2 linked regions of the Macaca mulatta genome follow. The protein of the gene in region 1 purifies or fractionates together with the protein of each later gene. This does not show direct contact. Links are inferred from orthologs where the notes say so. Each region holds a gene or a part of one and is shown on either strand. Other genes may lie near its edges. The genes, in order: JUP and DSG2.

The links.
Region 2: the proteins of JUP (region 1) and DSG2 purify together in Homo sapiens (affinity purification with western blotting; 3 studies listed by BioGRID and IntAct, with this or other methods). This does not show direct contact. The link is inferred for Macaca mulatta from reciprocal best matches to the Homo sapiens genes JUP and DSG2.

Annotation. Positions count from the first base shown.
Region 1 is NC_133421.1:66,096,128-66,099,949, forward strand, and holds part of JUP (junction plakoglobin), read right to left. Parts: intron 3,728-3,822; coding exon 3,489-3,727; intron 2,104-3,488; coding exon 1,902-2,103; intron 1-1,901. UniProt on the Homo sapiens protein: Common junctional plaque protein. The membrane-associated plaques are architectural elements in an important strategic position to influence the arrangement and function of both the cytoskeleton and the cells within the tissue.
Region 2 is NC_133423.1:60,985,116-60,988,937, reverse strand, and holds part of DSG2 (desmoglein-2), read left to right. Parts: intron 1-78; coding exon 79-213; intron 214-1,078; coding exon 1,079-1,240; intron 1,241-1,386; coding exon 1,387-1,531; intron 1,532-2,374; coding exon 2,375-2,541; intron 2,542-3,822.

The sequences.
Region 1 (3,822 bases):
TGCCTCAGCCTCCCAAGTGGCTGGGATTACAGGCATGTGCCACCACGCCCGGCTAATTTCTGTGTTTTTGGTGGGGATGGGGTTTCACTATGTTGGCCAGGCTGGTTTCAAACTCCTGACCTCAGGCAATTCACCTACCTCGGCCTCCCAAAGTGCTGGGATTACAGGCGTGAGCCACCACACCCAGCCCACCCCAATAGTTTCATGACTGTTATGTAAGCCAAAATTTTGAAAAAAAGGATAATACCTAGTGCTGACAAGGATGTGACAAAACTATATGCACATCCATTACCAGTTATGGCACTGGAAATTAGTCCAATCCTTCTGGAAATCAGTCTGGCCATTTGGGTAAAAGCCTAGAACTGTTAAAAATCAATGAGAATTTTTTCCACTCTTTGACAAAGGCTATATGCCCAAAGACATTCGTTAATTCGTTAGACAGCATTGTTTATAAAGGTGGAATAGGAGCAATCTAAATACCCTCCCTCAGAATAAAGCCTAAGGTCTCCACTTAATGAAATGCTATCTGTAGGCTAGGTATGGTGGCTCATGACTTTAATCCCACTATTTCGGAGGCTGAGGCAGGAGGATTCCTTGAGGGTAGCCTGGGCAACAGAGCAAGACCCCATCCCCATAAAAAATTTAAAACTTAGCCCAGGTGCTAATTAGCTCATTGGTACGTTTCTGTAGTCCTAGTTATCAGGAAGGCTAAGGTGGGAGGAATGCTTGAGCTCAGGATTTTGAGGTTGCAGTGAGCTAGGATCATGCCACTGTACTCTAGCCTGGGTAACACAGTGAGACCCTATCTCAAAAAAGAAAGAAAAGGAAGAAATGGGAAGGAAGGAAGAAAGAGAGGAAGAGAGGAAAAGGGAAAGGAAAAGGAAAAAGAAAGGGGAAAGGGGAAAGGAAAGGCAATCTGTCATTATTAGAGGGTGGTTTTGAGGACAACAGAGCAAAAACAATTTTTTTTAAACATCATGCAGGCCAGACACAGTGGCTCATACCTGTAATCCTGACACTTTGGGAGGCCAAGGCAGACAGATCACTTGAACCTAGGAGTTTGAGACCAGCCTGGGCAACATGGAGAAATCTCACCTCTACAAAAAATTAGTCGGGGGCCCGGTGCAGTGGCTCACGCCTGTAATCCCAGCACTTTGGGAGGCCAAGGCAGATGGATCACCTAAGGTCAGGAGTTTGAGACCAGCCTGGCCAACCTGGTGAAACCTTGTCTCTACTAAAAATACAAAAATTAGCTGAGCATAGTGGTGGGCACCTGTAATCCCAGCTACTTGGGAGGCTGAGGCAGGAGAATCACTTGAACCCGGGAGGCGGAAGTTGCAGTCAGCTGAGATTGCGCCACCGCACTCCAGCCTAGGCGACAGAGTGAGACTCCATCTCAAAAAAAAAAAAAAAAAAAAAGAAGAGTAAAAAAGAACTAGTCGGGCATGGTGGCACATGCCTGAAGTCCCAGCTACTCTGGAGGCCGAGGTGGGAGGATCATCTGAGCCCAGGAAGTCAAGGTTGCAGTGAGCCCTGATTACACCACTGCACTCCAGCCTGGGTGACCCTGTCTCAAAAAAAAAAAAAAAAAAAAGCAGGCAGAAAACAGATGCAATGTTGCAGATTGTTATGACAAGAATGTGCACACATCTGTAGTCTGCCCACAGAACAGCTCTTAACGGAGCATATCGAAATGACAATAGTGGCTGTATGAGGATGAGTGATTTTTTTTCCTTATGCTCAAAATAATAATTCTGACCAATTCAGTCGCATGATGAAGCATGCACATCTGCCCCTATATCTCATCTAAAAGGAGTAAGGGGCAGCAGCCCGAAGCTGTGGAGGATAGAGGGTGACGCAAGGGTGGGCTTCAGGCCTCAGGAGGGTTGGGGAGGGCCCACCTTGCTCTCCTGGTTGCCGTAGGCCAGGAGCTGCAGGCAGTCGGTGGTGATGGCCAGGAACTTGGGATTGTTCTTGTTGAGCAGGGGCACCATCTTTTGCAGCCCGTCAGCCAGGCGCACGGCCATCTTGGCGCCCTCCTGGTACAGGAGCAGGTTATGCAGCGTGGTGATGGCGTAGAACAGGACCGACTCCACAGGGGAGCTGGGGGGGTGGGCAGGGGTTAGTATGCCGAGGTCCCAGGGGCCTGGCATACATGTGAGCCTGGTATGGGTTCCCACCTCCCCCAGGAAGCCTCCCCACTACTGACACCCCTCTGGAAATATCCCTTTGCTAAAATCTCATCACTCCTTGAGCCTGCCCGGCTCTTAAGCATGAAGCAAACAGCACCTGTCTTCTCCCAACTGAGACAATGACTCCTCCTGCTTCTGAGCCCCCAGCCCTGTGCTGAGCACACAGCAGGTCCCTAGACACTGATCCCTACTAAGTAACTACCATGTGGAAGGCCACATATTAGAGAGGCCTTGCAAGGTGTTCAGAGGGGAATGAAATCAGTGTCTCCCCTTCATGGAGCTCCCAGCCTGGTATAGGGATGAGAAATGAGGCCAGGCGCGGTGGCTCACGTCTGTAATCTCAGCACTTTGGGAGGCCGAGGCGGGGGATCACCTGAGGTTAGGAGTTCGAGACCAGCCTGGCCAACGTGGCGAAACTCCGTCTCTATTAAAAATACAAAATTGAGCTCGACATGGTGGCAGACGCCTATAATCCCAGCACTTTGGGAGGCCAAGGCGGGCAGATCACCTGAGGTCAGGAGTTCAAGACTAGCCTGGCCAACATGGTGAAACCCCATCTTTACTAAAAATACAAAAATTAGCCAGGCGTGGTGGTGGGCACCTGTAATCCCTGCTACTTGGGAGGCTAAGGCAGGAGAATCGCTTGAACCCGGGAGGCGGAGGTTGCAGTGAGCTGAGACTGCGCCACTGCACTCCAGCCTGGGCAACAAGAGGAAAACTCTGTCTCAAAAAAAAAAAAAAAAATTAGCTGGGCATGGTGGCAGACACTTGTAATCCCAGCTACTCAGGAGACTGAGGCAGAAGGAATATTCAAACCTGGGAGGTGGAAGCTGCAGTGAGCTGAGATCATGCCACTGCAGTCCAGCTTGGGCGACAGCAAGACCTCATCTCAAAAAAAACGAGAAATGAGACCAATCAACATTTTGTAGGGGGCCCAGAAACAGAAAGTTTGTAAGGAACTTTGCATTTGCTGTTCCCTCTGCCTGGGACACTCTTCGGTTCCTCCACACTAGCCAAACTCCACTCATCTGTTAATCCCCTGCCATTAAGCGATTCCACCTCTGAGCAACCTCAATGCTCTTCTGCCACAGCCTGTGTCATATCCTGATCATTAACCTGCTGTTTACATGCCTGTGTTCCCTGCTGGGCTGTGAGCCACTGAGCACCAGGATGGGGTGTGCCTCTGCCTGGCACATGATAGTTGCTCGCTGGGTATTTATGGAAGCCCAGGGAAGGGAGGGGAGAGGCCCAAGTGAGGCGGGGTCCTGGACTCCTGCACTGAGCAGGGGTGGGTACCTGAGCATGCGGACCAGAGCAGGGATGCCGCCCGACTTGAAGATGGCGAGCAGCCCCTCCCGGTGGTGGGAGAGGTTGTGCAGGATGCTGGTGGTACAGCGGGCCGTGTCCAGGTCACTGGTATTCTGCATGGTGCGCACGACAGCGGCCACCAGCTGGGGTGAGCCCATCAGGGCCCGCCGCGACGCCTCCTTCTTTGATAGCTGGTTCACAATCATGGCCGCCTTAGTCACCACCACCTGGAGGGCAAAGGCAGGTGCGAGGACGTGAGCACTAAGGAGGGGCCGGGACACCCTTCCACAGAGCTGAGGAGGGCCCCAGACTCGTCACATAC
Region 2 (3,822 bases), on another chromosome or scaffold:
TAATATGTTATAAGACACCATACTAATGTTCTATATTTATGACACATAATAAATTTTCACAATATTCTATTGTTGTAGGTCTCAAGCACAAGAAATGAAAATAAGCTGCTTCCTAAACATCCTCATTTAGTGCGGCAAAAGCGCGCCTGGATCACCGCCCCCGTGGCTCTTCGGGAGGGAGAGGATCTGTCCAAAAAGAATCCAATTGCCAAGGTATCTCCTAAAGAGGAACATGAAATATATGCATATGACTAAAATGTGGTATGAGAGGACTTTTATGTCTACTTTAAGATTTAAGGAAAATTTAGAATGTGCTTACAGAATTTTTAAATATTCAAGAGATATCTGAAAATTAGCAGAGCTTACTTTTTAGCATAAAGTATCAACTTTAAGATTCTCTTTCCTATTCCGGAAGATGCAGCATCATTGGCAAAAATATAGATAACTCTGAGCTTTGATTTAACTAAGAGTAAAGGGATTTGGCACTGGTAACACAGAGTGTTCAGTGCTCAAAAGAAGATGTCATAAAATGTCATTTTCAAGATGACCTGGTGTCTATTACTAGGTAAGGTGACCATCTTCATTTGCCTGAGACAGTCATGGTTCATGCCTGTTGTCCTGGCTTAATAATTAATATCTGTGTTTTCACTCTCAAGGGGTCGAGTTTTTTTGATAAATTATGTGATAGTGTTGCTACTCTGTATTTCAAAGTTGGCATGCACAAACATAAACCCTTCATTTTTCTCCCCCCAAAGCTTTTCTTCGTAAGTTCTACCCATTTTGGTAATTGATGCTATAATTCTCTCCCGTTTTTCAAGCCAAAAATGTACCACACACTATCAGTTCTATTCCAAAAATATATTCCAAATCTGCTGCTTCTCTTCAACTCCACTGTCATTCCCCTAGTCCAAGTCTTGTCATCTCTGGCCTGTATTACCAAAGAACTTCAGAAGGAAATTGTCCATACAAATATATACCTATAAATTACAGAGAATCTCTTCTCAGGCTTTTGGCTAAGATCAAATCTAGTAAATTACAGAGAGTTCAACCTGAAACATTCCTGTTATTTTTATGTTAGATACATTCTGATCTTACAGAAGAAAGAGGACTCAAAGTTACTTACAAATACACTGGAAAAGGGATTACAGAGCCACCTTTTGGTATATTTGTCTTTAATAAAGACACTGGAGAACTGAATATTACCAGCATTCTTGATCGAGAAGAAACACCATTTTTTCTGGTAAGAAGAATAATTTTACATTTATTAGTTTGTAGTTTTCCTTTCATAATAAGTATCATTTGTTTTTTTTTTTTTTTTCATAGTATGGTAATTTAGTTTTCTTAGCTTAAATCTAATCTTATTTATTATTTATGTCATGATTTCAGCTAACAGGTTACGCTTTGGATGAAAGAGGAAACAATGTAGAGAAACCCTTAGAGCTACGCATTAAGGTTCTCGATATCAATGACAATGAACCAGTGTTCACACAGGATGTCTTTGTTGGGTCTGTTGAAGAGTTGAGTGCAGCACGTAAGAGTCTTTTTTTTTTTTTTTTAAATAAATACTAAGATTATTTTATCCCTGCTGTAAATAAACACTAAATTTCATATCTTAGTGAAAGTTGAGTATTACCTACAGAACAAATAAGAAACCTTTCACTCTAGGTTGAGAATTGCTTTCCTTATAGGTTTAAAGGACTTTACATGCCATTGCTTTTACCCTCAGAACAGATAGGGTAGATTAATGTGACAGATAAGGTGTCTGTAGCAACTACTCAACTCTGCTCTCTGCAGGAAAGCACCATAGACAATATGTAAACAAATGAGCCTAGCTGTGTTCCAATAAAACTTTATTTACAAAAACAGGCGGCTGGTTAGCTTTGGCCCTACAGCTTTGGCTATAGTTTGCTGACCTATAACTTGTATTATTTTTACTGTAAGGTTTATTCACAACATTGTTCAACACAGTGCTCTTCATGAGGACTCGAATGAGAGATTTCTTTTGGACCATGATATAAAGAATAGTTACGCTTCTCCTGATTTGTTTGTATCTTAATAAATATCAGGATCGTGTACCTGTTCATGTTACTTTCTTTGTATTGGCTACTAATACTATTATAAAGAAATCTGTCACCTTATATAGCAATTTTTCAGGACTCCACCCTCAGCCTTGCCTTCATCTTGTTTTTCCTGCTGTTGTATTCCATTCACGCTTACGTCCTCATCCAGTTAAATGTTATATTGTGGTCAACTGCATGTGATTTTGATAAGCACCTGAAATCTTTTTTGGAACAAGCTAAAATTATAAATAAAATAACAGGTAAGTGTGTTTAAAGTTGCGTTTCATCTTAGACATCTTTATTTCCAATGCCAGATACACTTGTGATGAAAATCAATGCAACAGATGCAGATGAGCCCAATACCCTGAATTCTAAAATTTCCTATAGGATCGTATCTCTGGAGCCTGCTTATCCTCCAGTGTTCTACCTAAATAAAGATACAGGAGAGATTTATACAACCAGTGTTACCTTGGACAGAGAGGTAAATTAATATGTTATGTTGCCCATCTTTAAACTCTGTATCCTTTCCAGTTTCTCCTCTCTTTTTCTTATTTTGTTCTGTATTCCTTATCCATAGGATAACTCTTGGAATTACTCTCTTTTAGGGATGGGCTGTTCAATATGGGCCATGTGACTATTGAGCACTTAAAATGTGACTGACCCAAATTGTAATGTGCTGTATGCGTGTTGAATGTGTAATATAGGCACCAGATTTGAAAAACTTAATATGAAAAATGCAGAATATGACGTTAATGTTTTTCGTGATCATTGCATGTTAAAATAATATTTTAGATATCATGGATTACATAAAATATACTTGTTTAAAATTGTTATCACATGTTTCTTTTTAAAATGTGACTACTAGAAGATTTAAAATTACATAAAGACAGCACCCTTCTAGGGCCTCTCCTATCAGGGTTTTGTTTACTAGAGATTCCTAAAACATTTCTCAGTTTGCAGTTCTCTAACGAAACATTAGGAGGCTCCTACACTGCTAGTACATAGGAGACGGTGAGGAAAGGGATGAAAACAGGAATCCTAGTTAGAGGATAAAGTATCTGTAAAGGAGAGAATTACTCTAAATCCCAAATTGAAGGAAAATTTGAGTAGGTTTACTAGGAAGGCGTTTCTCTCAAAGATTTCACTTTGTTTAACTCAAAGGGAAATTTTTAAATAAAAAGGGGAGATCGAAGATTTTTTAAATGATGTATACATAAAGGTTTTAACAGGGTACAAGAGTAAAGTGTCATTGATCCTAAAGATACACTCTTTGTCATCAGATATAAATCATCATCCAAATGCATTACGTTCAGTATTTCTTAGAAAAATGATTTAATTCTGCCCAAATTGGAAGGATTGCGCCCAATAGGCTTAAGGGGATGTTTGTAAAATTAAAGAATATGATTCATCTAAAATTCTACTCTATACCTTTTCACATAAAATTAGAATGGAAACGTGTTACTTTGCATTGGTAGTGTGATTTTTAACAAGCTGCTGTTTCTAAAGGACAGAAAGTTTAACCAATAATAATGGCTGTTAACTTACTGGGCATTTACCTTCTGCCAGGTACTGTTCTAAGCCTTTTTATGGATTAACCCATTTAATCCACATAGAAACCCTGTGAGGCAGATTCACTTATTATCCTCATCTTATACATAAAGAACCCAAAGGTCAAAGGGATTAAGTGCGTGTCCAACACAGTCAGTAAGTGACAATGCCAGAATTGGAACCCAGGCAGCTGGCTCCAGGGTCCTGGTGTCCT